2 linked regions of the Saccharomyces cerevisiae S288C genome follow. The gene in region 1 interacts genetically with each later gene. Each region holds a gene or a part of one and is shown on either strand. Other genes may lie near its edges.

Region 1 (17,733 bases):
CAACCGGAATTATTTAAGACCACGGTGATTCCGTTCTTGGCAAATCGCAATATAATCAAGTCGGAAGCGATTCTCTCCAACTTGCACTCAATTTTTTATGTTGCTATATTCTACCATATTTGGTTTCTTTTTGGCAAATGGATCTTATTCCCACATTTGGTTAAATGGAAATTGGACTATGACCAAAAACATAACGTCAAGAAAGATGAGAAGACAACTTCGGAACGTCAAGCTCAACATTACAAAAAGAAGTACACTTCTTTGATCAATCAAAGTTCAGTCCACTTAATATCCCTACTGCAAAGCATAGTGGTCCTGTACTACTCATTGAAGTTCTTGCTTGATCCAAAAGCCTCGGCCGAGCCCTACCAAACCTCACACTCTCGAGTGTTTACAGAAAATCGAGACACTCAAGTCATCTGTATTTTTGCTATTGGTTATTTCGTCTGGGATATCTATATTTCCACCATGTATTCTACTTTCCCCTTCGTTGTGCACGGAATAATCTCCACCGTCGTGTTTTGCATCGGATTGAAACCGTACATCCAATATTACGCCCCAGTGTTCTTGATGTTCGAACTTTCCAATCCCTCCTTGAACTTTAGATGGTTCGGTATCAAATTTCTACCCCAGAAAAGCAAATTCTGCTCTCTACTGCTGCTGTTGAACAATTTGACGCTCATGGTCGTCTTCTTTGCCGCTAGAATCGCCTGGGGGTGGTTTCAAATTGGAAAACTATGTTACGACTTTTACCAGGTGCGCAATGAACCTGGTTTCTTAGTCTTTGACACCATTGTTATCCTTGCAGGCAATTTCGTCCTGGACATCTTGAATGTTATTTGGTTTTCTACCATGGTGTCTGTGGCTGCAAAGGTCTTGAAGAAGGGGGAGTCTGTAGACAAAGTCACTAAGAATGAACAATAATCCATGGAGGCACACTTTAACATGTGCATATATGTGTATATAGACTATAAACTTGTGTAAGCTATGCGAGCATTACAAACCTAGAAAATTACAGGCAATAAATCAATATTGATACATGGCGAATTTTTGTGGGGGGGGGGCAGGATCTTTGCCTACATTTTCTTCTTTAATTTTACCTAGACTGAGCGATTCTGCCACCTTCAGGACTACTGAACACTTTCAATGCTACTTTTGCCAGAATTATACTATACTACCACACTTTCATGTGATGAAACGTGAAACTCTAATCACGAGATTTAGGGGGAGGTGTTTCATATGCGGATAACGCCGTTCTCGCGCAAGCTGATTTTCCATTGCTTAATAAAAAGGCGAAAAGCCTCCTACATAGAGGATGATGTTGGTTTGACCGTGATTGATGTCCAAGTAGCTGTGGCTTATTGGGTATTCTTTCGGAAGCTTTTGTGATTTTTTTGTTAAGGTTTGAGAGTGGTTAATTGAGCCAAATACGGCGCGGTACAGGTAAAGAGAGAAGAATCATAAAGAAAGCTGTTTTCTTTATCCTAGTCTACTTTTTATGGCTTTGTGTGCTAAAAGAAGAAAAACAAGAGATAATTAAGTGGATTAATAGATGTCTGACTATTTCACGTTTCCTAAGCAGGAGAATGGCGGTATCTCGAAGCAGCCTGCGACACCAGGTTCAACTCGGAGCTCTTCTAGAAATTTGGAGTTACCGAAGAACTATCGTTCATTTGGTGGTAGTAGCGATGAACTGGCATCTATGTATTCCGCCGACTCCCAGTACTTGATGGATATGATTCCTGATTCATTGACGCTGAAAAATGAGCCAGCATCTGGAAATACGCAAATGAACGGGCCAGATGGCAAAGAGAATAAGGACATAAAACTTGACGAGTATATATTACCCAAGACAGACCCAAGGTCACCCTACTATATTAACATGCCTATACCTAAAAAATTGCCGAAGAGTGAAGGTAAGGCGAGGGCTAAACAAAAGGTTAACAGGGCTGATCCTTCTGATTTAGATGTGGAGAACATTTACGAAACTTCCGGGGAGTTTGTTAGAGAGTATCCGACAGATATTTTGATTGATAGGTTTCACAAATGGAAGAAAATCTTGAAAAGTTTGATCGCTTACTTCAGAGAAGCTGCCTACTCTCAGGAACAAATTGCAAGGATCAACTACCAGATGAAAAATGCCGTAAAATTTGCTTTTCTTACTGATTTGGAAGATGAAACAAACAAACTGGTTGATCCAAGTATATCTAAGTTGCCTACTAAGAAACCTCAGCCTGTCCCATTGGCCGCTCAAAAATTGGACAGCAAGTACGACACAGATGTGGAACAGCCGCAGTCAATCCAATCAGTACCTTCGGAAGAGGTAGCTTCAGCTTCTTCTGGCTTCATGAAATTTGGGTCAGGATCCATTCAAGATATTCAAGTGATTTTGAAGAAGTACCATTTATCTTTGGGTAGTCAACAATATAAGATCTCTAAGGAAATCTTGGCATATATTATACCCAAATTGACCGACTTGCGTAAGGATTTGACCACAAAGATGAAAGAAATTAAAGAATTAAATGGAGATTTCAAGACTAACATAGGCGAGCATATCAAAATAACAAGCAGGCTTCTGAATAAATATATTGCTTCAGTGAAGTTATTAGATGAAGCATCCACTTCGGGCGATAAGCAAGGTGAAAAATTAAAACCAAAACACGATCCATACCTTTTGAAATTACAACTAGATTTGCAGCTGAAAAGACAATTACTCGAAGAAAACTATCTTCGAGAAGCTTTTCTGAATTTACAATCAGCAGCACTACAACTGGAGAAAATAGTATATTCTAAAATTCAATCCGCATTACAGCGCTACTCAGCGTTAATTGATTCAGAAGCACGATTAATGATCAAAAATTTGTGCCATGAATTGCAGCAAGGTATTCTATCTAGACCACCGGCTGTAGAGTGGGATAATTTTGTCTCTCATCATCCTACCTGTCTGATGAATTTAAAATCGACAGACCCGCCACCGCAACCCAGAAGATTATCTGATATTGTTTATCCTAACATGAAATCGCCGCTGGCCAAATGCATTAGAGTAGGATATCTACTGAAGAAAACAGAGTCTTCTAAAAGTTTTACTAAAGGTTATTTTGTGTTGACTACAAATTATCTTCACGAATTCAAAAGCAGCGATTTCTTTCTAGACAGCAAGTCTCCCCGTTCAAAAAATAAACCTGTTGTTGAACAATCAGACATTAGCCGTGTGAATAAGGATGGGACTAACGCTGGCAGTCACCCATCGAGCAAAGGGACACAGGATCCGAAACTGACGAAGAGAAGAAAGGGTTTGAGTTCTTCGAATCTATATCCTATCTCTAGTTTGTCTTTAAATGATTGCTCATTAAAGGATAGTACTGACTCAACTTTTGTTTTACAAGGGTATGCTAGTTATCATTCACCAGAGGACACATGTACAAAAGAATCAAGCACGACCTCAGATTTGGCATGTCCAACAAAGACGCTTGCTTCAAATAAGGGCAAACATCAACGTACGCCTTCAGCTCTCTCGATGGTGTCCGTTCCGAAATTTCTAAAGAGTTCTTCCGTGCCCAAGGAACAAAAAAAGGCTAAAGAAGAAGCTAACATCAATAAGAAGTCAATTTGCGAGAAGCGCGTTGAATGGACGTTTAAAATATTTTCCGCAAGTCTTGAACCAACTCCAGAGGAATCAAAAAATTTCAAGAAATGGGTTCAGGACATAAAAGCGCTTACAAGTTTCAATTCTACTCAGGAGAGGTCGAACTTCATTGAAGAAAAGATTCTGAAAAGTAGAAACCATAATAATGGAAAGAGCTCTCAAAGGTCCAAAAACAGTACATATATCACTCCAGTAGACAGTTTTGTTAACCTTTCTGAAAAAGTAACGCCATCTTCCTCTGTTACCACGTTAAACACTAGGAAGAGGGCAAATCGTCCTCGTTATATAGACATCCCAAAAAGCGCAAATATGAATGCAGGCGCTATGAATTCCGTATACAGGTCAAAAGTCAATACACCAGCCATTGATGAAAATGGTAATCTGGCCATAGTGGGAGAAACGAAAAACAGTGCTCCACAAAATGGTATGAGTTACACAATTAGAACCCCTTGCAAATCGCCTTATTCACCTTATACTGGGGAAGGTATGCTTTACAACCGGTCAGCAGATAACTTAATGGCATCCTCTTCGCGAAAAGCATCGGCTCCCGGAGAGGTACCTCAAATAGCTGTTAGTAATCATGGGGATGAAGCCATTATTCCGGCAAGCGCGTATTCAGATAGTAGTCATAAATCGTCTCGTGCCTCCAGTGTTGCATCCATTCACAACCAACGGGTTGATTTTTATCCTTCGCCATTAATGAACTTACCAGGTGTTTCACCCAGTTGTCTAGCATTGGATGGTAATGCAAACGGATATTTTGGAATACCATTGAATTGCAATTCGGAAGCAAGACGAGGGTCAGATCTTTCACCTTTTGAGATGGAGTCTCCATTGTTCGAGGAAAACAGAACTCAAAACTGCAGTGGCTCTCGCAAAAGTTCAGCTTGTCATATTCCCCATCAATGTGGTCCAAGGAAAGAAGGTAATGACTCACGATTGATCTACGGCAATGAGAAGGGCGCCTCACAATCACGTCTAACGTTGAAGGAACCGCTTACATCTAAAGGTGTTGAAGCTCCTTATAGCAGTTTGAAAAAGACATATAGTGCGGAAAACGTCCCACTAACATCTACTGTATCGAATGATAAGTCTCTTCACTCGCGCAAGGAGGGAAGTACTAATACTGTACCTGCTACATCCGCGTCAAGTAAGTGACACTATGAAAACCTGTCCAATAAGACTGCACAGATGAAGAGCATGTCATTTGGTTCCTTGATAAGTGTAATAAGCAACAAGAAAGTCCTGGGTCATGTTCCTGCTGAAAATACAAACCCATTAACTACCGGAAACGAAGAAGATTAAGACAAAATGGAAAAGTTAAGTTAAACGCAATCAGTTCATATATTCTTAGATAGTTATCATGTTTTTATAAGTAAACAAAGTAGTCTTCTACCAAATAAAAATAGATTCCTGATTGGGTATTTTTCAGAAGTATCATCTGAACTTGATGTTATTTTAAAATGAAAGCCAGCGTCCATAATTATCTTTTTCTTACTTGTTTTTTACAGTGGCGGTAGGATTGGCAATGCCTGTTCATCTCCAGTTTTCCGGTCCGCTTACGACATCGGCCTTTCTATAAGACAGGTTGGCAATGCGCCACGGTACATGATGACGATAGGAGCCTTCGAATAATATTTTGTTGTGAATTCTCCTGGGAACCTCTCAAAATCAAATATGGGTTTACCTAAATCGGCATATAAGAAGTTACTCATAGATTGTCCAACGAGAGTCATTAATAAAAACTGTGCCCAACGAGTCAAAGATGTTTCTCCGCTCATTACAAACTTCGAGAAATGGTCGGATAAGCGCAAGAAGCTCTATTTCAAAGATGAAGAGGAAATGGTGGGGCAGTTCCATTTGGAAAATTTCAATTTAAAAAATAACTTATATGGTAGGCTTTTAGCTTCTCCAATGAGAGCAGAAAAAATCTCAAAATTAAAATCGTGTAGAGAATTACTAATTCCATTGAAAGTGGTACCATCAACTGGCAAAGATCAGCATGCTGATAAAGATAAACTAAAACTGGTACCTACACTAGATTATTCCAAATCATACAAAAGCTCGTACGTATTGAATTCAGCCTCCATTGTACAAGACAACTTGGCGGCTGCGACGTCATGGTTCCCAATCTCGGTATTGCAAACATCAACTCCAAAGAGCCTAGAAGTTGATTCCTCTACATTTATAACGGAATACAATGCTAACTTGCACGCATTTATAAAAGCAAGACTTTCAGTGATACCGAATGTTGGACCTTCTTCGATAAATCGTGTTTTACTCATTTGTGACAAGAGAAAAACACCCCCGATTGAAATACAAGTAGTTAGTCATGGTAAAGGGCTACCAATTACACAGTCTGTCTTTAACCTTGGTTATCTCCACGAGCCAACTCTAGAAGCTATCGTGAGTAAAGATGCAGTTACTAATGGAATTTACCTGGATGCCGACAATGACAAGGATCTCATCAAACACCTTTATAGTACATTATTGTTTCATTCAGTTAACTGATTGCGGAAGAAAAAAGGAAGGAAAGCGGGATATATCGCTGGAATTGTCTCTCTGAATTTGCCATTATTCTTATTCAATGAATACAAAACTGGCTGTCAGCGAATGGCATCATTTTGCAATCCGAAAATGAAAAATTTGGGCGCCTCGGGCAGGAGAATTCAGAACCCTTAATCCCGCACATCTACGTAAAATATCTCTGAGGTGTTCTATAGTCCATCACTTACCATCCATCTGCAAGGCTGTATGATTGATAAAGAGGAACATTAAGGGTAAATAGATTTGTTGATTTGTTTGCACTAGTGGCTTTGTATTAAAAACTTCAAGGGCATACACATGCATTATATTCAAGAGCACAACCAATAATTTACCATTATAGAAGGTACTTCTTTGAAAACTAAATCATACACTTTTTCCCACGAAAAGGCTTACATTTAAAAGCTAAGCATTCAATTTAGTTTTGCTGATCAATTTCTCGAGTAGGCTTGTCATCCATAATATCTAGTAGCTGGAGTATCCTGTTTATTGCAAGAAAAAAAATCTACAATGTCTATGTTACCGTGGTCTCAAATAAGGGATGTGTCTAAACTATTATTAGGCTTTATGCTTTTTATTATATCAATTCAGAAAATCGCTAGTATTCTCATGTCATGGATATTGATGCTGCGCCATTCCACAATACGAAAAATTTCATTTGGATACTTTTTTGGTACGTCAATAAGACGAGCGTTTATCTTAACTGATTTTGCTCAAATATATATTGGCAAGATAACCTTGCGAATAGGTTGGAAACCCGGAATTGTGTTTCATAATGTTGATTTGAAGTTATTTGGGAAGGACAGCCATATCACTGCACATTCAACTAAAGACTCCAGAACATATTTCAATCCGCGGGATCAAACTTTTACCTTTGTAATTAACAGGCGAGTCCTATCAATTTTGAAACTTGTGTTCTCATTTTCCACTTTCTTTCATACTTTAGCTCTTACAGTGCCTAATGGAAAACAATATAAATTAAATATCGGATCCATAACGATATCACACCCACACGATGATACCATAAAGTTAGAGGCATTTTTGCATGATTTTACCCATCCTGAAACGAAAGATACTTTGAACCATACTGGTTTTTTTATGGTCTGTAAAATTGGAAAGGAAGATGATACAGGCAGCAACTGCACAAAAGTTATACTAAAAAATTGGAAATCAAGTCTCAAAATAAGTGATGTTTGTTGGCATCTTCCAGAGAAGAAAGGGAAGAATTTGCATTCGGAGCCTGTTGAGCCTTTTTCTGCTGGTGATGATGCGGAAATGCTCACTTCATATCGTAAGATGCTAAAGCCTTTTCACTACCCACTGAAAACTTTGAACATTCTGGACCTTAAGGTAGAAAATGTAAAGTTGATTTACAAAAAAAAGTTTACAATTCGCATATCAAGTGCTCAACTTTACTTGGAATCAATCTCCATTCTAAATAATGTCTCCGCTTTGGAACTTTTACCCTTAAATAAGCCCACATGGGGCGATTTTGAACTATCACTTTCTGCAAATGCTGTTGTAGTAGATATCGATGGTAATACAGCAGTTAGAATTCCATTTGGAAATGTCATACTGACGTCAGATATTTTACTATTTTTACTTGACAATGTACCTTTACGGAGAACGAAGGTATCTTCCATTTTGAACATTATAAATCCTTCAGTATTCCTCACTATACATCAAGTACTGGAAGTTCTTCATTTAGTGGACAAATTCGATAGCCCTGAGACCTCATCATGTACTAACACAAACGACAGATCATTAAATATTTTAGATTTAGATATTGATCGATTGCCCAGTTTTAACTTTGAACTACTAATGTCGAATTTTATTTCAAGGCTGCATATATCAGATGAGGAGAATGTGACGTTTAAGGTCTTCAGCACACATGCTCTCTTTAGCCGTAACAACTTGTCTATGACTCCTAAAAAGGGACAAGTAATGCAAATACGTCCGGATTGGCCATTTGCGAAGACAGCCCTAGTATCTGATCAATTATCTAACTATATTAAAATTGTGGGTACATCACTCTCTTACCTGAGAATTCCAACAGAGCAGGACGCTAACCCAGTGTCTATACCAGTCTGTGGCTTTGAAAGATTAGACACATTTCTGGATGAATTTTCAAATTCTAAATTGATCGTTCAGTCTACACTAAGACATTCGTACGTTAGTCTTGAGAACATTGAAGTTTTGCATACTTTAAGTCGCGCCTTTGACAAAATTTACTTGCTAATATCTAGCAGAACAAAAAGGAATGCGGCTCATAAAGCGAATGGTGGAAAATTGGGGGACCTAAATGAAGCCAAGAAAACATTTAACTGGTCATTGAAACTTAGAATGAAGGATATTTCATGTTCGTTACTGGTCGCTGGGTTTCTTCCGAAAAATTTGGATCCTGTGGAAGCTGAGAATTTTAACTTATCTGACGTAACTAGAGGCGCCAAAGTTGTTTTTACAGAATCAATATTGTTAGCGGACAGCCAGGAGAAAAACTTCACTATTATTGATGCATCCGTATATCGTTTCATGGATGGCACTACGTATAAGCCCTCTCCTGAGGTTATTATTCAATTTACCAATTTGTTATTGAGTTTTAACGACTCAGATGAAATTCATTTTTCACTTCCCAAGATTAAATTTAAGATGGATGTAAATATTATCTGGTTGTGGTTTTATATTCGGAGTATATGGATAAAATTTCGTCCTAATTCAAAATTGAGCCGAAATTCAGTGAGCAGTGTAAAATCTGTCAATGTTCTCGATAGATTAAGAGTAGATATAGGAAAGATGATTATAGAGCTAACGCTTCCTCATAATACAGAGGTACTCCTAATATTCGAGAGGATTGGACTTTCAAGTTCCACTAAAAATCTTACAATTGCATCTTTGTCAGCGTACGTGGTATCGGTTTATGTGAAGCATATTAAGGTTTATGTTTCCTTGCTAAATATTAATGACTTTGAGCTAGACACTGAAGAGTTGATCTGCAAGAAATCCGCTGTTATAAACACCTCATTGATTCATTTTCATGCCGAATATCATTTTAGATTTTACATGATAACGGATAACATAGTCACGTTGTATAAATCGTTTAAGCAAATTAAATTGGCATTTTCCAATTTGAATGAATTTAAGCGATTATACCCTCAGCAACAGTTTCCGAAAAAAGTTCCAAATTTACATATTTGTTGCCAGGATTTTCTAATTGATATTGAAGAAGATCCTTTTGAGCAGGAGTTAGGATTAATTTTGAAAGTTGGTGTTTTGGAACAACGTGAGAGGTTAAAGAAGCTTGAAGAGTTCAAGGAAAAGCTATCAACATATGAGGACATGAATGTACGTTTAAGGTCGCTCTATGATACCTCCCGTGGACAAAGTTTTTTCCCAGAGTTTTATGCGAATGATCAAGAATATGAGCAAAAGGCCTATCTCAGGTTGTTAGAAAACTTTTCAACGTCATGGATTGCCAGATACAGGAAAGCAAAACTTTCTTTTTATGGTATGCCTTATCGGGTTATCAGCCGTGAAGAGCTTGGTACGAAATACCACTTGTTTACTAGACAGAAAACCAGTACTGTTGCTAACCTCGTCGTAAAAGATTTGGATTTTAAACTAGGCAGTCCTTCCTTCCCTTTAGACAATTATATGGATTTTGTTTACCAGTATGGAAAAAAAGTTCCAAAATCTACGGAGTACACTTTGCTAATTATTCTTGGCCTCAAAATCAAAAGCGCGTTATGGGAGTTGCGTCTGAGAGATTATCCAATACCTGCTATATCATTTCCCGACACATTTACAACAGGTGATGTTGTATTTGCTGAAAAGATGCCAGCACCTTGCGCGCTTCATACTGTTTATGTTCCTTTTGTCAGCTCTGCCCAAAGAAGCCCCTATAATGACGCCAATACAATATATGGTTTGCACATCATTCGTACAATTAATTCAGTCAAAACATATTTCAATATTAGGTCAATGGTTACATCTTCTTCATCTGCCAGAATAACATGGGGGAAATCTCTGCAACCCGGTTATGAGTCTTTGATGCTTTGGTTTGATTTTTTAACCAAACCTCTCATCGATCCGTCCAAAAAGCTAGGATTTTGGGACAAATTCAGATATTTAGTGCATGGGAAGTGGATATACGAGTTTTCAGAGGAAAGTGAGATCCACTTAAATATTAAAGGTTCACATGATCCTTATAAGATTACAGATGATGGTGCGGGTCTGGCGTTCTGCTGGTCTGGTGGCACCACAATTTACGTTCATAACTCCACGGATCCTAAAGAGTTTTTAAAAATTGAATCCCAAAGGTTTCAGTTGGCAGTGCCAGACTTTGCCAAAGTTAGTAAATTTGATAAAGTCTTTATGAAGCTCGATGGAAGAGTAATTTGGACATTAGGTTTACTTTTTGAACAAGGCGATATATCTAAGGCTGGTGACGAAGAGAGGTTCCTTCCAAATAGGCCACATTATGAAATACAGCTGATGAATCCAGATGGAGTCGCAGATTTGGATCACCATGATACATACAAAGGATTTAGAACATCTTTTATCCACATGTCATTTGGTGTCTATTCTTCTGAGCACGGATCCATAAATAGTCTCTATCTCGCACCTTACGCTTTAACACATTTCTTTAAGTGGTGGAATTTATTTCATACATATACATCTGGTCCTATTAGGCAAGGACGGTTATTTACGGATGTACTTCAAAACAAGACAAAGTTTGGTCGCTCATTATTTACAATAGCTTATCAGCTACATTTAAAACGGCTAATGGTTACGCATATTTATCGGCATATTACTACTCAATATGATCTTGAAAAAGACCGCAAAATAACTTTTACTGGATTGAAAGGGAGGTTTGATTCACTGAAAATTGATTTGCATCAAAAAAGAGTTAAACTGACCCATACGAACCAAAAATTAAATAAGTCAAAACCTGTATGGAAGTTTAAGATGTCTAGGGGTGAGATTGATTGTGCAGAAGCAGATATTAGGATATTATCAACTCTGTTTGATCAGGAAGCAGTTAAGGAAATTCTTACTTCTGGACTCGATGGCATACTTGAAGACGAGCCATCACGTCCTATTACGCCTCAAGATGTGGAATACTTGCGTGAATCAGATTGGTATGATTATGAGGATTATATAGACTTGAATCAAGTGCCGCTTGGTTCCTCACTTCCATTAAAATTAGAAGCAATACCATTGCTATACTCTCCTAGAATATCCTACTTTAGAAAAATAAATGATGATGGTTACGTACTAGCTTACCCATTTGGTACCGAAGAATCTCACAATTGTCTGATTGGCAAGAATCATCCAGAATTGACGCAGGAGAAATTAGCAACTGAAAGAAAACGAGAAATAGAAGAACAACTAAAATTATTACATATTACGTTAAGCGAATTGCAATCGAACAAAGGCGGAGGTTCGGTAAGTGGAAATTCGGAGCGCTATGCACGCGAATTAAAAGCAGAGGTAGCTGAATTAAACCACAGATTGCACACAGTCAACACCATCTTGAGCGATTTAAAAATCTCGGAGACTATTCCTGGAGGAAATACTGATGGTGATAGCTCCAGCTCACTCTCCGATACTGATGTAAATTTGGAAAATGCACCGCCAATTCAAAATAGAATATCGCTATTGAGGACCAATACCGTGGAGTCTTTTGTATCAATGAGAAAAGCCTCTACTATGCAGGTTGAGTCCACCTATGATAACCGTTTCATGGTCCATAATATCGAGTTAAAAATCGATAATAAAATCAGGCATCACCTTTTGGAATACGCTTCCAGTGCTTTCGAAAGGAAATCTATGAGGTTTGCTGTGACTTATAAATCCGTAACTATTTTAAAAGAATTACTGGGAAATGTGTTGACTGGGGTCAGAACATCTGTAGAAGATTATGGTTCAATACTTGAGGACGATTTAGCCAGTAATTCAGAATTTATTGAGCACTTTGAGAAACTCATCAGAGAAGTTCCGAGTGATGACTTTGATTATGTTGATAATTATCTTTTTAGACTAATCTCCCCTCAGGTTCAGATCAAATCGGACGTTGAAAGGAACGCAGCAGTTATTTTAGCTGCTAGGGATATAGAAATGGGAATAATTGATATAGTTCAAGTGTATGGAAAATCAGGAAAAAGAATTCCCGTTGACGTCGATACTATTGTTGAAACTCGCTATTCCGCTGTTTCAAAGGACATTCAGTTGTTTACATTGTTCAAAAAGGATTTAGAGGGTCCTGAAGGTAGATTTTTCCATAAAAATGGATATGGTTCCGACAAAGAGTCAGATATATGGCCCCCATGGATTCCTCTTGAAATGTGCTTTGACGGGTCTTTATTAGATAAGCATGTTTTTCTAAAACGGAGATCAATGTTTTTGACCTACGTCGCTCCCAATCCCCTATTTTTTAGTGCAAATGATACGTCTGCATTCTCTTATGATTCGAGATTTCGTATTGCATTTCCAGGATTGGTTCTGACCTCGGACTGTCAACAATACTGCGCTGTATATGCAATCGCAGAAGATTTACTTTCCTTTGGATCATCATTGGATGAAAAAGTTGAGAAACTTTCCAGGATATTATTTACTGATGAGGTCAGAAATAACCTGGAAAATCTTGATGTCTCTGTTGTCACAGCATTACAAGAAAGAATAAAGGAACTCTATTATACGCGAGCATACCTCAAACTTCACGAGCCAAGATTGTTTATGAAATCAGGACAAGAGCTAACCTTCGATATTCAAACTAGTACGTTGAAGTTGACGTTACTTATGACGGCAATCAAGAAAACTTACGACCGGATGGGGAGTGGTAATAGAGTAATACAGAAAAGATTGAGGTGGCAAGTTGGAACAGATGAATTGATATGGGAATTGTACGATGAGAGTAAAACTCCTTTCGTGACTATCGGATTGGGGCCCTCTACATTTATTCGTTCAGAAACTTCCGATGGCACTAATAGTAATAAAGTATCCATTTCTTCCTTACAATGTTTCAACCAGCAAGAAAATCCCGTTTACACTGAATTGCTGGCCCCCTTTTATGAAAATTCATCCTATAATAAGAACGCGCCAATGGTAGAAATTTTTTGGATCCTGGGGCCATCAGTTGGAGGTATTTCAGATCTGCAAGATTTGATTGTTTCTCTACAGCCATTGATTTTCAAGATGGATCACAAAACATCGGAAAAACTAATGAATTATCTATTTCCAAAGATAGAACAAACTTCCATAGAACCCAATTCTCCAGAACTTGTACCACGTTCTTCCACTAGTTCCTTCTTTTCATCGTCTCCAGTTTTACGGCACAGTCTTTCTAACGGTTCTTTATCTGTGTACGATGCGAAAGACGTTGACTCTTGGGACTTGCGTAGTATCCAGAGCAAAGAAGGTATCAAAAAGCATAAGGGTGATCATAGAAAATTGTCAGCATCACTTTTTGTGCAACCTGATTATAACATCAATGAAATGGTCAAAAGATCAGGGACATTTTTCAATGTAAAATCTATTATAATCCGAAAAACTCTAATGTCCGTGTGTTATAAGGGTTCACACAGCCTTTTGACCGATGTTAATAACCTGATTGTTAGAGTCCCTGTTTTAAAGTACCATAACAAACTGTGGTCGAGGGAAGAATTTTTTACTGCTTTGAAAAGAGACGTCGTAAGAATAGTTTTACAACATTTGGGAAATATTATTGGTAACAAATTTTTGCCTCATAAAAAAGAGAATAAGAAAAAAACTTCTATGGAAATACATCGATTACTAAGTCCAGATTCTCAAAATCGTGATAATTCACATATCCTTGAAGTCGAAGGGCATAATTCATTTTATAGCTCCACGCACTCTTCAGATATCAGATCAATAAACTCAGATGAAACGTATAATGAAAATGATGGAAATGGAGTAAAGCCATTTTACCCTGTTACGAGTGAGTTTTCAAAAAATAAATGAGGAAACACACACATGTGTCTAGCGTAAATATTCTTCAGTTATATAGTAATTGTATTATATACTAAAATGAAAATCAGTAAGATTTTTTTTTTACAGGCCTTCTTGGCGTTAGTTTTTCCGGTTTTTCACTTACTAAGATGAGATGATGGGGCGCACGGCCAAAGTATTCCCCATTCATCAATTTAGCATGCTAGAATAAAAAGATTAAGAGCAATATCTACGACCGACAAAGTGATCTATCAAACTGCTGACAAAAAATGTCGTTGGAAGCCATCGTCTTTGATAGATCGGAGCCAGAAAATGTTTCGGTAAAGGTACTTGATCAATTACTTTTACCATATACTACTAAATACGTTCCAATTCACACAATTGATGATGGGTACTCAGTCATCAAAAGTATGCAGGTGAGAGGTGCCCCGGCAATTGCAATTGTGGGTTCGTTATCTGTTTTGACTGAGGTACAATTAATAAAACACAACCCAACTTCTGATGTTGCTACGCTGTATTCTTTAGTTAACTGGGAATCTACAAAAACAGTGCTAAATAAGAGGCTAGATTTCCTTTTGAGTAGTAGACCCACAGCCGTTAATTTATCAAATTCTCTTGTAGAGATAAAGAACATACTGAAATCCTCAAGTGACCTAAAGGCTTTTGACGGTAGTTTATATAATTACGTCTGTGAATTGATAGATGAGGATTTGGCGAATAACATGAAAATGGGTGATAATGGAGCTAAGTATTTGATTGACGTGTTACAAAAGGACGGTTTCAAGGACGAATTTGCCGTTCTGACGATTTGTAATACTGGATCCTTAGCAACCTCTGGATATGGCACGGCTTTAGGTGTTATCCGTTCTTTGTGGAAGGATTCACTTGCTAAAACCGACAAGGCAGACTCGGGATTGGACAATGAAAAATGCCCGAGGATGGGCCATGTCTTCCCACTGGAAACTAGACCTTATAATCAAGGGTCAAGGCTAACAGCATACGAGCTAGTTTATGATAAGATTCCATCAACTTTAATTACTGATAGTTCCATCGCGTATAGAATTAGAACTAGTCCAATTCCAATCAAAGCAGCATTTGTTGGAGCTGATAGAATTGTTCGTAATGGGGATACAGCAAATAAAATTGGTACTTTACAACTTGCTGTAATTTGTAAGCAGTTCGGAATTAAGTTTTTTGTAGTAGCTCCCAAAACAACTATCGATAATGTAACCGAAACTGGCGATGACATTATTGTGGAAGAACGTAACCCTGAGGAATTCAAGGTTGTTACTGGTACAGTAATTAATCCTGAAAATGGTTCCTTGATATTGAATGAGTCAGGAGAGCCAATCACTGGAAAGGTCGGTATTGCCCCTCTTGAAATCAATGTCTGGAATCCAGCCTTCGACATTACTCCACATGAGCTTATTGACGGAATTATCACAGAAGAAGGTGTATTTACCAAAAATTCCAGTGGTGAATTTCAACTGGAAAGCCTTTTCTAGATATCATTCTAATTAGACTCTCGAAATAATTACTTTTGTACTGTAAAGGATAAAATTTCATATTGAGATGTAAGAATTATTTTTTTTTTTCATTCAATAAAAGGAACACATTAATGTATATTGTCAGAACCTTGTAAGTCCAAAACACTATAACCAACTGATACAATATGTATTGTCTTTGTTTCTGCATATTTGTAAAACGTGCAAAAAAGTAAAGAACTCCTCATAGGGGGCTCGAACCCCTGACATTTCGGTATCCTTGCTTAAGCAAATGCGCTTAAAAGCCGAACGCTCTACCAACTGAGCTAACAAGGATGAGTTCTTCGGAGCGTGTTGTATCTCAAAATGAGATATGTCAGTATGACAATACGTCATCCTGAACGTTCATAAAACACATATGAAACAACCTTATAACAAAACGAACAACATGAGACAAAACCCGTCCTTCCCTAGCTGAACTACCCAAAAGTATAAATGCCTGAACAATTAGTTTAGATCCGAGATTCCGCGTTTCCACCACTTAGTATGATTCATATTTTATATAGTATATAAGATAAGTAACATTCCGTGAATTAATCTGATAAACTGTTTTAACAACTGGTTACTTCCCTAAGACTGTTTATATTAGGATTGTCAAGACACTCCGGTATTACTCGAGCCCGTAATACAACAGAGCGTCCTTAATAAATATTTCTATAAATATTTGATGTTTACCTTCCGAAAAAGGTACATTGCCAACCTTATTTGATAAATGTGTAAACTAAGATAAGTGTTGAGATCGGATTTTGATAAAGGCATTTGTTTGGGGTGTATGAGTTGGGAAAAGAAACAACAATCATCTCTTGACCAGTTTTCCTACTACTAGTGTGTTATCATATAGCGTAAGAGTATGACATAGAGATTGAGAAACAGAAACTGAATCATAACGAACATCACAGAATTTACATTTCTACACAATTTTCAGAAAAAGTGGAGTGGTGATATATGCTTATTGTTCTACAAGTTCTCTTCATGCGTTTTTGTTTATCTATCTTATTGAATTATTATCTTCATGCATTTATACTTATTAAATTCGATGAACATTTCATATTATTTTTATATGCTTCATAATTCATGTTACTACGATCTATACAGAGTATTATCGTAATGTCTTACCTTTAGCTTGTCACTTAACACATGCACTGCATTTCGAAAAGATGCTTAAGCAAGTTTATCATAATTTGGGAGTGTTCGGTGAATTTATACAGAAAGCCCCTCCAACGTCTTATTGATAATGTATATTTAGTTCATTTACCAAAATACTATCAATTCATCAACCTCCAAGTGGTTTTGACTAAACAGCCCACAATTGACATATGTGACTGCTAAGCAGACCTTTCTTGAAGTAAATTTCAGGGAAACTAAGCTACGGCCTTTCCAAAATATGGGCAGGAACTGCTTAATCCTTTCCTTTTATTAGATAAGCACTTTAGTATTTTTGTTTTTCATGGCCTTATCCTACGTTATTGTCGTGAAAGAAATGGCAGAAATTTCTGTTGTACATAAATTACTAACTGCCTTACCTTGAAAACGGTTTTATTACAAAAATAGGGGTCAAGTGTTTTGTTATCCCTGTTGTTGTTGTTTTATAAGTCCTAATCTCGCTTGAATATCGCCCATATTCACACCCTGTTCTTGACCGTCTACTAAGGTGCCTTAGGGGGACTCAAACTTAAGATCGCCTTCTACGCGTTTTATGCTATGATCATTAGTGTTGATGCATCGGAAGTTTAAAAATTAAGTGCGAGTGCATTAGCACAGTGGAATTATTAGAATGACCACTACTCCTTCTAATCAAACACGCGGAAATAGCCGCCAAAAGACAGATTTTATTCCAAATGCGGGTAACTATTTGTATAATATGTTTACATATTGAGCCCGTTTAGGAAAGTGCAAGTTCAAGGCACTAATCAAAAAAGGAGATTTGTAAATATAGCGACCGAATCAGGAAAAGGTCAACAACGAAGTTCGCGATATGGATGAACTTCGGTGCCTGTCCCTCGAGGAAATAGCAAACTCGTTACAGCTAGC
Region 2 (15,226 bases), on another chromosome or scaffold:
GAGGAAGTCACTTTCACGGGAAAACAGTTATCTAATCTTTGCATCTCATCGTGTCAGCAATTTGACGATTTGGATAACAGCAATATATTCAATATTATGACGTACTACTGTTTGCATCGTAGCTTTGCACAAATATCGAACGCAAGAACTTCTTACAGACTCTGTTGTGAAGCGGTCGGTCTGATTACGGTAGCAGGGTTACATCGGGAAGAAACTTACGGATCCCTTACATTTGAAGAACAGCAACTTAGACGGAAACTTTATTACTTGCTTCTCATGACGGAGAGATACTATGCCATATATCTTCATTGTGCGACGAGCCTGGATGCCACAATAGCACCACCGCAACTTGAACTTGTAACTGATCCTCAGCTTTCTATGGACAGTTTCCTTGAAATGATTAGGGTATTTACTGTACCAGGAAAATGTTTCTTCGATGCTTTAGCCGCTGACTCTACAGATGCTTCTTGCACTGAAGAGTCATTGAAAAAGATATGGAACGAACTCCACACAACTTCCTCGGAAATAGAGCCATGGTCTAACGGTTACATAGACATCTCATTTTCCCGGCATTGGATTAGGATACTAGCATGGAAGCTAGCTTATCAAATGAGGGGTAGCAACTTTTCATTGAACGCTAACAATGGGCAAATACCAATAGAAATTGCGAGAGATATGTTAATAGACACTTACTTAACCCCAGAGAATCTTTACGATGTCCATGGTCCCGGGGTACCAGTGAAAACATTAGAAATAGCTACTGCTTTGGTGGACATTGTAGGCCAGTATGATCATAACATGAAATTAGAAGCATGGAATGTTTTGCATGATGTATGCAAATTTGCTTTTTCTTTAAACCACTATAACAATGATATGCTGAAGAGATTTTCCACCAAATGCCAGAATGCCCTAATTACTCTGCCCATTTCTAAACCTTTACAATTGGATGGTTATCCCAAGGATAATGAAGACATAGACCCTTGATTAATTTTCATTTTTGTGCATCTCAACTTCCTGGTAAGTGATAGCTTTCCATTGTAGAAACTGTGTTTCCGCAACACAAGGGTAAAATTCACTGCTAATTGCGACCCATTTTCATGAACAGAGTAATTAATTTTCTATTTGGAGGTCTACTTTTACAAGTATAAGACTGCTTCTTACCATGATGTCTCCCTATTGAAAATTATATTTAATAAAATACTTTTAGGCACGCTAACGTTAGCATTCTTCCCAGAATTCCTATACTAACAGTTTTCAGTATATATACACTTTTTTACTGAGTGCTAAGAGCCAGATTGGATGAGATGATTGTGTACTGATGGGAGACAAGTTTAGCTTGAATAGGCTAGCTGCAATATGGATACTTTCACTCTCATCCTTTCGCTTTTGTGATTTAATTAGCATAATCAAGATGACTTTATATACAGCGCGTTGAAGCACTTAGTGCCATGTAATTACCTCATACTATTGTTGAAGAACTGTATAATAAAGTTTTGAAATTTTTCAGTGTTTGAGAAGTATTATATTTCCACATTGTAGCTAATGAAATCATACTTTCGTCAGCACTGACGCTCAAATGAATGATATGAAGTATTGCTCGACCGTTATAATGGAGCACTAGTTGAAGGGCAGAGGAACAAGTGAAATACAACAGCTGAGTGCAGATAAGTGCTATGGTTTGTTGATAATATTACTTAGAAATGGTGTATTCAGCATTGATAAGAAAGGGGCGGTACTTTTTGCTACCATGTTGCTACCTCTGGGATTTGGATATTTGAGTGAATCACCATTCGCTTATTCAATACAGAGAAGATAGATAAATGCCAGTTAATTTTAGGAGGCAAGATATTATTGTCATTTATGTTTGCCATTTAAAGCAACATTTTTATGGCAGAACATAACATTAAAAGAATCCGATCTAAATTTAACTATAATAGTTACTAGATACGGACATATCTCTAGGAACTATGAAGGCTGAAATGTCTAGAACTTTGGAAAAGAGATGTCCTTTCTGCGTAGCTTAATTCATTTCCTTCCTAAAAAGTCCGTAGAAAGAACACTGCACCTCGCCTTGGGCAGGCTCCTCAGTGAAAACCGAAGAAAAAATACTACAAATAAAAGAAGCGCGATGATACTTGTTTTAGATATATGGTTTACATCTCACAGAAAACACGTAGCCCTTGACGCGGGGAAATTAGAAAAGAAGCGATGTTTTTCACAATAATGCAATATATATCTCTATTCTTAGTAATAATAACAATATCTACTGAAGAAAAGTAATACGCCACATGAAGACTAACGACTTTATAACCTCTCGCAAGGCAGACGAGGACTGTCAGACCATTGAAAACTTGACGAACTTGTACACTAGTAGATTTCCCATATTCTTCCTCCGGTTTTTTGAAATCTTGTTTGACTTTATACTGAAAAATAGATCAAAGAAGCCATATCAGTGGCGGCTAATTAGGTAATATTTATAAAACAATTCCATTATATTCAAATTCAAAGTGATAGATTTTTGAATCACAATTTCTAATTAGAACACCTTCACCACATACTGCTAACACGAAATTTACCTAATTGTTTGTGAGGATGACGACCACATGGGTTTGATTTTTTTTACTAATCGCTTTTGTATATCAAATGCAATTTATTATTATTTTCATGTCACCAAGAAAGAATAATTCTTTGAAATGGTTGTTTATATCCTCAGAATTGGAAAATTATTTGCCAAGCGATTGTGAAACTATGTGATATGTTTTGAGATATTTCATGAACCATATAGAATATGCATAGTATATCCCAATAAAGCATTGAATTATGAATGTCGTATCTCTATAAGCTCTCACATTAATGCTTCAAAAATACTTCATAAAACATTATAATATAGTTTAATGTGATTTTTGCGTGATTCTCTCCTTCTTTTTATTAAGTGTATGGACATTTAAAGTAACAGTTAATTGAGAATACGGTTGACCTGGCATGTTGTTCGAATCAATATCCAGGCACAAGTACCAGGTGCTAAAGAAAAAGTACTCTCATATTTGCTTGATTGCTGCTTGGGCTATTTTAACTAACTACTAACAATATTTTGCTTAAAAAATGGTAAATATGAATGTTTTACAGAAAAATAAAAAATGTATATATATAAAATCTCGAGCTAGCTGAGGGTTTTGGGAGCAGTCAAAGGGATTCCTTATTTCTTCCAAAAAAAAAAAAACAACCCTTTTACTTAACATTTATCAGCTGCATTTAATTCTCGCTGTTTTATGCTTGAGGACTGACTGATACTCTCATCAGCTAGCGAATCATGTTGAGTTTTTCCCTTTCCGAATGGATCAACCACAGTAGATGCAAATTTTCTGGCAGGAACCCCTTGGTTGAAAAGTTCATTAATTTCACTGAAGGTTCTACCAGTTGTCTCAGGCAGATCGATGATGACCCAAGCTAAAGTGACTGCTGTGAAACCACCCCAGTATAGACCAGTTTTGGCACCCCAGTTCCAATCGCTCACGTTTAGCATATAGGGCGTTAATATAGCGTTAATAACGGCCATGAGATTGTAGCAAATACGGGCCAGCACTATAGTCTTAGTTCTCAACTCCGCTGATGGAATTTCAGCAACGATACAGTAAACAACTGCACCGATACCAGCATTGTAAAAGAATGATAAAGCCAGCAATAAACCACCGGCACCATTACTAGCGCTGCTTCCAGAACCAAAACCCATTCCACCAATAATAAATAAGCAGACCATTTGAAATGCAAGACCATAGGTCAGTATTGTCCATCTACCAACACGGCCAGATATTACCCAGGAGCAAAGTGTACCCGCTAACCCAAGACAGTACTGAATTAGAGAAAAAGTAAACGCCTTGTCGGTGGCCATACCTGCTCTTTCAAAAAAATATGTCGAGTAACCAAGTAAAACGGCACCGCTACTATTTTGAGCTACCCAAGTTAAACATGCAAGTCTCGTTCTTCTTCCATTAACTCCCTTGAAACAATTAAAGAATGATCCTGATTTAGATGCTAAAAGTCTTTCTTTTTCAATAGTCAATTCAATCTGCTTTAAAGTAAGATCAACTTGAATGTCCTTCTCGGCGCCTTTACCACTCAAAATTCTGCTTAAAGATTTTCTTGCCTCAGCGACCCTATCCTTTCTCACCAACCACCAGGGCGACTCAGGAGCGAAAAAGATACCGATCATTAAAGGAGCAGGCCAAATCCATTGTAAAGCAAATGGCAATTTATAGCCCAAGTCGGAGTTCCCTAAATTCTCTTGTGAGTTTTTCATAATACCAGAGGCGAAGATTTGACCAAATAACCAACAAATGTTGGAGTAACTGGTCATGTAATATCTTAATGCTAAAGGGCAAACTTCCGAAGCATAAGTAACAGCCAAACTTTGGAAACAACCCCATGGTATAGCTGAGAGAATTTGTCCCACAGCAATCATAGCTAAACTTTTACAGTAGTAGAGGATAAAGATATAAGCAGTTAACAAACCAAGTGCTGTAATCATCGTATAACGATTCCCCATAAATTCAACCATATAAGTCGTGATTTGCAAACCAATCATCTCACCACAAAGGACACACATGTTTAAACCAATCTGCCATTGGGAAGTAATTTCGTAAGAACCCTCCCCGTTCAAAGTACCGAATTTTCTCTGAAAAACTGGCAGGGCATACAGTGCGCTCAGTAGTGCGGTATCATAACCTTCCATAACCAGGGTAGTAGACACTAATATGGACCACAGGGCTGCTTTTGGATATTTTAGCAACGCCTGCTTCAAAGTCATGCTTTTTTCCTCGCTGTTAGCTTCATTTGCATCATCAGTAGCGTTCATCTCATTAATCACATTCTCGTTATCTTCGTCAGAATCTCCTAACTGGGCTGAATTGGTGGTGAACTCTAAGTGGTCTAGCTCAAAGGCACTATCCTTTTTCCCTTCTTCAAAATCTTCAGTATTGAAAACCTCCTGTTGGTTTACAATATCTCTTGAAGACTCAGAAATGTTTTTATCCTCATTTTTTGAGGCAGCCTTCTTCTTGCTTACCAATGAAATGATATTTTTCATATTATACTATTTTTTTAGTTGTTTGATGTTCTTCTATGTAGCATCAGAAAGAAACACCAACCCGAAAATTCTTCAAACAATCAATACCAAACCGCTTTATATAAAAAATTAAGATGTCGACATTCCTTATTTTTTACTGAGTTCGTTAAAGTTGGGTACACTCTTGATTACTGTAATTGTCTCTGTATGTCCCTCAAGCCCGGTACGTTGTCATTTTCTAGTACGCATCAACGGAGTGTTACATGATAGATAGACCGAGTAGAATCTATGGCTATGGGGTAATTAAAACCTTAAAGCTCCTTTCGCTGCCATAGTAATACGAATAGACCTTGGCTATAGTAAGTTGCATCTGTACCGTAGAGATTCTTGCAACTCGCTTAAACTCTCGCTTTTAGATAATATTTCTCCTTATTGCGCGCTTCGTTGAAAATTTCGCTAAACACGGGGTTTAAGTTAAAGTTTACAGGATTTATCCGGAAATTTTCGCGGACCCCACACAATTAAGAATTGGCTCGAAGAGTGATAACGCATACTTTTCTTTTCTTTTTTTAGTTCCTAGCGTACCTAACGTAGGTAACATGATTTGGATCGTGGGATGATACAAACAACGTAAGATGAATAGTTCCTTCCTCAATTCTTCTTGCAGCATCATTTTCTTGAGGCGCTCTGGGCAAGGTATAAAAAGTTCCATTAATACGTCTCTAAAAAATTAAATCATCCATCTCTTAAGCAGTTTTTTTGATAATCTCAAATGTACATCAGTCAAGCGTAACTAAATTACATAAATGACTATTTCTGATCATCCAGAAACAGAACCAAAGTGGTGGAAAGAGGCCACAATCTATCAAATTTACCCAGCAAGTTTTAAAGACTCCAATAACGATGGCTGGGGTGATTTAAAAGGTATCACTTCCAAGTTGCAGTATATTAAAGATCTTGGCGTTGATGCTATTTGGGTTTGTCCGTTTTATGACTCTCCTCAACAAGATATGGGGTATGATATATCCAACTACGAAAAGGTCTGGCCCACATATGGTACCAATGAGGACTGTTTTGAGCTAATTGACAAGACTCATAAGCTGGGTATGAAATTCATCACCGATTTGGTTATCAACCACTGTTCTACAGAACACGAATGGTTCAAAGAGAGCAGATCCTCGAAGACCAATCCGAAGCGTGACTGGTTCTTCTGGAGACCTCCTAAGGGTTATGACGCCGAAGGCAAGCCAATTCCTCCAAACAATTGGAAATCTTTCTTTGGTGGTTCAGCTTGGACTTTTGATGAAACTACAAATGAATTTTACCTCCGTTTGTTTGCGAGTCGTCAAGTTGACTTGAATTGGGAGAATGAAGACTGCAGAAGGGCAATCTTTGAAAGTGCTGTTGGATTTTGGCTGGACCATGGTGTAGATGGTTTTAGAATCGATACCGCTGGTTTGTATTCGAAACGTCCTGGTTTACCAGATTCCCCAATTTTTGACAAAACCTCGAAATTACAACATCCAAATTGGGGGTCTCACAATGGTCCTAGGATTCATGAATATCATCAAGAACTACACAGATTTATGAAAAACAGGGTGAAAGATGGTAGAGAAATAATGACAGTCGGTGAAGTTGCCCATGGAAGTGATAATGCTTTATACACCAGTGCAGCTAGATACGAAGTCAGCGAAGTTTTCTCCTTCACGCACGTTGAAGTTGGTACCTCGCCATTTTTCCGTTATAACATAGTGCCCTTCACCTTGAAACAATGGAAAGAAGCCATTGCATCGAACTTTTTGTTCATTAACGGTACTGATAGTTGGGCTACCACCTACATCGAGAATCACGATCAAGCCCGGTCAATTACGAGATTTGCTGACGATTCGCCAAAGTACCGTAAAATATCTGGTAAGCTGTTAACATTGCTAGAATGTTCATTGACAGGTACGTTGTATGTCTATCAAGGTCAGGAGATAGGCCAGATCAATTTCAAGGAATGGCCTATTGAAAAGTATGAGGACGTTGATGTGAAAAACAACTACGAGATTATCAAAAAAAGTTTTGGTAAAAACTCGAAGGAAATGAAGGATTTTTTTAAAGGAATCGCCCTACTTTCTAGAGATCATTCGAGAACTCCCATGCCATGGACGAAAGATAAGCCCAATGCTGGATTTACTGGCCCAGATGTTAAACCTTGGTTTCTCTTGAATGAATCTTTCGAGCAAGGAATCAATGTTGAGCAGGAATCCAGAGATGATGACTCAGTTCTCAATTTTTGGAAAAGGGCCTTGCAAGCCAGAAAGAAATATAAGGAACTTATGATTTATGGTTACGATTTCCAATTCATTGATTTAGACAGTGACCAGATCTTTAGCTTCACTAAAGAGTACGAAGACAAGACGCTGTTTGCTGCTTTAAATTTCAGTGGCGAAGAAATTGAATTCAGCCTCCCAAGAGAAGGTGCTTCTTTATCTTTTATTCTTGGAAATTATGATGATACTGACGTTTCCTCCAGAGTTTTGAAACCATGGGAAGGTAGAATCTACCTCGTCAAATAAAATTAGTGCCGGCTTTTTTTTAGCGCGTACTTTAACGAAATAACACATGATTTTTCACATGATTTTTGTTAGATAAATTTTTTATATGTAAATGATGATAGCGTAAAAGCACTGTTGATAATTTGTTTCACCATTATGGGTAAATGTGTTTTTCTACATGACCCTCGTTCATTATGATATTTAGCGTGTATATAAATGTGAATTCCAAATTATTAATGAGGCATAAGAAGCACTATCCTTTCTCTTCGGATGAAAACAAGGGAGAAGAAACCTGTGCTGGTATTAATGCTGAAATGTCTTGCTAAGAATCATACAAGGTGGTAGTTTTATTTAATAAAGAAAAGAAAAGGACTAGATATAAAAAGTGAAATGAATATAAGATAGCGTTAAGAGATGTCCGCAGTACTTGACACATAATTTAGCGTTTTCTCGGGAAGCTCTGTGATTTTATGATTCAATAACACAGCGTAATTGATTTCGTGATAGTTCGATCCTATATGTAATCTCACGTAACACTCAGGCGAGTTACAAAATCGATTCAACATTGCCGGCTTATGCGTTTACGTCAAGTCTGAGCATGCCTACCCCCTTCCGAACCCGCCTTTTATTGTCTAGCCTTCAGATGAACTAAACCAATCATCTGTCCATAATTCCTCTGCTTTAGACAGTGTTATTAAGCAAAAGAAAATAAGCGCATAAGATTCTTGCTACTTCAGTAACTCCACAACATTAACACCCCACAATCAATATCTAAAAGCCAATGAAGTGAAGATGAGAGGTGGAATGACGGTCTTATCCTTTGAGAAGTTTGACTACTAAAATCTGTGTCTCCTATACCATTAGTTATTGAGCTATAACTATATACCAGAGAAGTGTAGTAATTCTTCAGCAACGGGCCTATAATCTGGATACGTATGATTACTTATCGCTGTAATAGTTGTAAATTCCTCGAAGAAAAACACATGACCAGAATGATAGACATATTGAAACAGTGAATAAAAGGGAGAAAAAGGCTTAAAGGATTTCTGTATTAGTAACACTAAGCCCTCTATCAATTTCATCCAAACAGAAAGACTGCAGGTACATCCATAGGATAGAAGTTCTGTATGTAATCCGCCACTTTTTGTCTCCTTCATGTACCATATAATGAATAGAAAAACGTAGACCTAGGCGGCAACCGTTGCCTACCATACGAAGCGCTGATGCTGTTCTCCGATTATTAGTATTACAAAAAAAATTATACAATACTTATTAAGATGTTAACTTATCAATTTCCGGTATAGTTTCCGCTATGGTCAGCTTTGTCCAGTGGAAGTTCCGCTGTTTCAGAACTAGAGCTTCGTAGCACCTCGAATGCTCATTTATTCTTGTCAACATTTTTGCTGGCAGTGTATAAGACTGTAGACACCTACAATATACGACTCCGGTATTCGATAAGTCTTTCACTTTCTATTTTAAGAAAAACAGAATCTACAATTTTCCCGTAGCAACCGTTTAGCGCACAAAGATTAGATGGCCTCTGAACGAGGGTTCAAAGCAAATTTGGTTTTAGCTTTTTCTTGGCCAAAAGCTGCAGCTGCATCTCTGAAGGCACCCTAAAGGGATTCTTCGGAAGTATGTACACTGTGAGAAAACATTCTTGTGCCTTGGAAATGCAATAAAAAGGTATAGGCACTATGAAGCGTGCGCCTCGTATACGGGACCTATGAAAGACGCATCGTTCAAGTACAGAAGCACCGTAATAATATGAATAATGAATGTGGGATGAACATTGTACACTGAGGCATTTTAGGTGAGAGATGGGTGCCAGATGATAACTCGTTTGTGCCAGGGAAGTTGGCAAGACATTCATATAAATAGAGCTGCTGTAGCTATCCATCTTTGAGGTATGCGCTTTCATTTCACTATTTCTTGTTAAGCTTACATCAGCACTAAAAAACAAAACAAATACAATGGTCAAACTAACTTCAATCGCTGCTGGTGTTGCCGCCATCGCTGCTACTGCTTCCGCAACCACCACTCTAGCTCAATCTGACGAAAGAGTCAACTTGGTTGAATTGGGTGTCTACGTCTCTGATATCAGAGCTCACTTGGCCCAATACTACTCTTTCCAAGCCGCTCATCCAACTGAAACCTACCCAGTTGAAATCGCTGAAGCCGTTTTCAACTACGGTGACTTCACCACCATGTTGACTGGTATTGCCCCAGACCAAGTGACCAGAATGATCACCGGTGTTCCATGGTACTCCAGCAGATTAAAGCCAGCCATCTCCAGTGCTCTATCCAAGGACGGTATCTACACTATCGCAAACTAGAGACAAACGCCTTTACGAACGAAATTCCATAAACCTTAAGAAATAACGAAAATAAAAAAAGCTTTTTTTTTTTGATAGTATAAATAGTTCATTATATGTAAGTGTATATTAATATTGTTACTACTGGTCAATCGTGATATTTATGAACAACTTGGCGGAGCAAGGACAAGAATCCTCTCTTCCTTTTGTGGTATTCTTCGATGTGTGTCCACTTCAACGACATGGGTCATCAATATCTATGTTGAAAAAATCATATTTTAGGATCACTTGCTAGTAAACCGGTTGATGCTATTGTTAATATATAACGACAAATGTTCAAGCAATTATATAACCATTTTCTTCCATATTCACCTTAAACGAGGTCGCCTTTATTTTTTTTTTTTTTTTCAGGGCATCGATCGGCCCGGAGTCGTCGCCTTCAAATGTGTCAAATTTTTAAGATTAAAGTTATCGATCTTGAAGTTTTTCGTGGCAGGAGGGTTTCTATTTAGTGTTCGGTAAAGGCTTTCATAAGCTTTTGTATATCCCTTGATTAACAATAAATGTGGAAAATAAGAAGGGTAATTTGTGAAAGAGTCCGATTCTAGTCGATGTACAGTAAAATCACTTATTATTTAAGGATTCCGCTGCGGTATGCGTTTTCTACTGATGCGTGGAGCAAGCCACGCCATGTGATTAACCTTGCTTGATAAAAGCACCAACCCATCGTTCAGAATATGCATGGAATATAGCATCACTGGGAGGAGAAAGACAATAAGTTTTGCGCATATGGTAGGATGGTGGCACACTGATTTCTGTCAACCAGTGAGAAATAGGGAAAAAGAAAATGGTTGTAATGGTAAAAAGTAGTCTCGTTTTGGTTATTCGCAGCTGACAAACTACAAAATATATAAATTGAAAAAGTTGTATTTATCTTTACGCTAAGGACTCCTCACTGCAGGATAATTGCGCTTCTTTAATATATGGCCATAGTTCCACATTCAATGATAGAGCCCGCATAGATTTCTTTGCAGAGAGAACGCGGTAGAAGAAGTGGCTAAAAAACCATTCACAGTCAATCCCGTCAAAGAAAAACTCTTCATTCTTCCAGACTTTTTTCTCAAACAAGTACCTATTCATTTTCTTTGCAATTTCGTCCCATCCATTTGCACCACTTTCTTGCTCATTTATAATAGTCGATAAAAACTGCATCTTGTGTTCCATTTTCACGGATAAAACGATCATCCTCATATTCCGGAAATCTCTCGTCATGATAAAAAACAGCACCACAAGAAACAAGGGACGTGCTATAGTGCCATCATTTCGTGAAATGAAGACATTATGCAAATAAAAAAGGAAGAGTGGTAAACACCGCCGGTTGAAAATCCTTTTGAGAACCCAGGTAAGCTTAAATCGGTAAGCTTCCTTGGGAAGTTTAGCATCTTCCAGGCCAACAGGGCTCCATGATTTCTCAGAATTAAACAACTTCCATTGTTTTTCAACTTCTGTAAAATAAACTTCCAATGCTTCTTCAATGTAAGGGACGGAATCCTTAAATGACTTAACCTTGGCAGCTTCGTCTTTTTTCAAAGAGAAGGGTTCGAGAAGGGTTGTTCTGAATGCTTCTTGGCAGCTCATGGCACTGAAAAAAAAGTACTTGGTATTCCAAGCCTTATTTTCATAGAAGTACGAATTTAGATTTGCTGCAACGACTTCCCAATCATGAGGATCCGAACTTGGTGTGTTTTTAGTAATCTCTTTGCAAAACTGAGTGAGTTGTTTCGATAAGGAACGTTTACGAGAAAGTCTAAAAATAACAAGAACAAATACTGGTCCCCAAAACAGGACAAGAAGTGAAACCATAAGCGGGTAAATCCAATTGTTGGAAAGTTTCCACCAGACGCTAAGTGGTAGCCATAATAGCATCCAGATGCGAAACACTAAGGACTTGTAAATTTCATAACAAAACCAGGTAAAGCTGCTTCTGAAAAGATCTTGAGGTAGAACAGTCTTTTGGGATTCGAGCTGTTTGACGGATAATACATCTACACTCTTCTCATTTTTAAGTTCATTCTCTTTCATTTTCGGTAGTGAGATGGCAGTTCGAGGGGTTTTTTATTCAAAATAATAACTTCTGGCTTTTCGCTTTTATATAGCAGAAAAAAAAGCCGTCGAGGCGCGCGCGTTCATGCAATGGCTCAGTAACCTCGGGATAGAAAAAGGGCAACAATGTTGAGCTATTTTAGGCACAGAAACTTTACTATTCGAAAAGGGCATCCATTTCATTTCCGATTTTCTATCTAGCTCACTCGATAATCGTAATAGTACTTTTATAAAACTTTAGTGCGGGTACTGTGAGAGTGTGCCGTAACTTTGGTTTACATTTAAGGTGCGACCAGCAATGTCACTACTTTTACAACAACCGCCATATGGCTCGAGAATTTCATTATCACATGGAATGCCTGTGACAAAACTGTGTAAATATCTAATAGAAATTAGATGTAGCTGTCACAAATATTTACACAGGAAAGAGCCTGTCCTACGAGTATCTTACATGAAGATTCATAGAACCAATTTACTTGCGAATGTGAACAACCTTTCAACATCATTTCAATACCATTTTCCCTCCTTATGTTTGGTGTCACTGTAAAGCGGATCAAAGCAAAACATAGAGGTACGGTGGTGCTAAGATCATGCATGACCTCTGGGTAATTACTACTTCTCCCGCTTGTTTTGAGATTCTGTATATAAATATTTCAAACAAAAGGATAGAGCGCGGATGGCAGGCCTTATAGTAAAAGTTATTCGTTTTAATCATGTGTCAGTATGAGATTCTATGACAATAGTATGAGAAGATAGGGTGAAGTAAAAGTATCTGTATGACTATAGAGTGCAGTTATATTACAATATATTGAATAGATCATAATGGTATGACGATATTAAGGAACATTTAAGTTAATGACGTCATGGTGGTATAGATACGCAATTGAGTGTGTTTATGTATTATTGTTGAAAAGTAGAATATTTTTATGTTTAGGTGATTTTGATGATATTTTTATGTAATATTGACATAAGTGCATATAAATTGAGTGGTTAGTATATGGTGCAAAAGTGGTACAACATATGTATTAAGGGCATTTATACAATATTTGGGGCCGCCGAATGAGATATAGATATTAAAATGTGGATAATCATGGGATTTATGGGTAAATGGCACAGGGTATAGAACGCTGAGGCAAGCGCCGTGCATAATGATGTGAGTGCATCTAGTACTGATTTAGTGAGAATGGGCCATGGAGTGGAGTGTGAGAGTAGGGTAACTTGAGATGGTATATACTGTAGCATCCGTGTGCGTATGCCGTATCAGTATACAAGTGAGGGTGAGTGTGGCATGTGGTGGTGGGATTAGAGTGGCAGGGTAAGTATGTGTGTATTATTTACGATCATTTGTTAACATTTCAATATGTTGGGTAGAACAACAGTATAGTGAGTAACAAGATGGGGCATGGTAGGGTAATGGCAGGGTAAGTGGTAGTGGAGTTGAATATGGGCAATTGGAGGGTAACAGGTGGTGGATGTGGGTGAGTGGTAGTAAGTAGAGAGATGGATGGTGGTTGGGGTGTGGTATAGTTGAATGAGACAGGGTAACTTGTGGGGAGGTAGGGTAATGGAGGGTAAGTTGAGAGACAGGTTAAATCATATATATGTCACTGTATTGCATGCTGGATGGTGTTAGACAAGGCCGTAGGGACATATAGCATCTAGGAAGTAACCTTGTACGAAAATAGGCAATATTTCCTGTTTAGGCGATTGTGACGCAGATTTTAGTCCAACGATCTAGCGTCAAGGAATTTTTTTATAGTGGGACATTGCACCAAGGAAGTAACTTGATACGTCGTGGGTGAATGGGTCTGTTTTCTTATTCGGCGGGGTAATACATTTTTGGGGGAAGTTTGTCTGTCTGACGCGCCATATGTAGGTACGCCAAAAAGGGCTCCTCTACTTCGAAGCGCGAGGTCGTATACCTAATAAGGAAATGTAATTTATAACTTTCTATTATATTGGTCTTTTCGAGAGCGGAAGAAGTTGTAGGCTAAGCGCAGGCTAAGCGTAGGTCCATATTTAAAGTATCCAAGAGAATATCCACGAAGCGGCTGAGCAACGAACAGAATCCTGGTTCTCCTCGACTAAGCAGATAGTTAAGATACTGTGCACCATGGAAATTGAAAACGAACGTACGTACCGACTACTTTATTTTTGCAGGCCGGAAATCAAGCGATGAATGAGACATCCTTCTGCTTTCTATGTTGTGCTTGAAGGGGACAGACAGTCGCTTATCTTAGTGAGATTTCTTACTAACTGAATTTACTTTGCTGCTGCTAGAGATTTGCACCTGCATAGCGCAGATTCTGCATCTTCTCAATAGCTTAATTATTACATTCTTAGATGATGATAAGACGGAAACTGGACAATCTTTTGTTTATATTGATGGATTTCTTGTCAAAAAGCATAACAATCAACATACTATTGTTAATTTCGAAACTTACAAAAATAAAATGAAAGTTTCCGATAGGCGTAAGTTTGAAAAAGCAAACTTTGACGAGTTTGAGTCGGCTCTAAATAACAAAAACGACTTGGTACATTGTCCCTCAATAACTTTATTTGAATCGATCCCCACGGAAGTGCGGTCATTCTACGAAGACGAAAAGTCTGGTCTAATCAAAGTGGTAAAATTCAGAACTGGTGCAATGGATAGGAAAAGGTCTTTTGAAAAAATTGTCGTTTCCGTCATGGTCGGGAAAAATGTACAAAAGTTCCTGACGTTTGTTGAAGACGAACCAGATTTCCAGGGCGGACCAATCCCTTCAAAGTATCTTATTCCCAAGAAAATCAACTTGATGGTCTACACGTTGTTTCAAGTGCATACTTTGAAATTCAATAGAAAGGATTACGATACCCTTTCTCTTTTTTACCTCAACAGAGGATACTATAATGAGTTGAGTTTCCGTGTCCTGGAACGTTGTTACGAAATAGCGAGTGCCAGGCCGAACGACAGCTCTACGATGCGTACTTTCACTGACTTTGTTTCTGGCACACCTATTGTAAGGGGTCTTCAGAAAAGCACCATAAGGAAATATGGATACAATTTGGCACCCTACATGTTTTTGTTACTACACGTAGATGAGCTATCGATTTTTTCTGCATACCAAGCAAGTTTACCTGGCGAAAAGAAAGTCGACACAGAGCGGCTGAAGCGTGATCTATGCCCACGTAAACCCACTGAGATAAAGTACTTTTCACAGATATGT

The links.
Region 2: mutations in RGC1 (region 1) and PAU12 together harm fitness more than expected from each alone (negative genetic interaction), as found in Saccharomyces cerevisiae (2 studies listed by BioGRID).

What each region holds. Positions count from the first base shown.
Region 1 is NC_001148.4:753,325-771,057, forward strand, and holds RGC1 (Rgc1p), read left to right. Parts: upstream 1-1,552; coding exon 1,553-4,804; downstream 4,805-17,733. Other genes in the region: ALE2 (Ale2p), read left to right, coding at 1-924; RRG8 (Rrg8p), read left to right, coding at 5,324-6,157; HOB2 (Hob2p), read left to right, coding at 6,701-14,170; S-methyl-5-thioribose-1-phosphate isomerase MRI1, read left to right, coding at 14,428-15,663. UniProt on the Saccharomyces cerevisiae protein: Positive regulator of FPS1 glycerol channel required for the glycerol efflux.
Region 2 is NC_001139.9:1,070,731-1,085,956, forward strand, and holds PAU12 (seripauperin PAU12), read left to right. Parts: upstream 1-9,575; coding exon 9,576-9,938; downstream 9,939-15,226. Other genes in the region: transcription factor MAL13, read left to right, coding at 1-984; MAL11 (alpha-glucoside permease), read right to left, coding at 3,233-5,083; alpha-glucosidase MAL12, read left to right, coding at 5,869-7,623; COS6 (Cos6p), read right to left, coding at 10,854-11,999; YRF1-3 (Y' element ATP-dependent helicase protein 1 copy 3), read left to right, coding at 14,134-14,152, 14,301-15,226.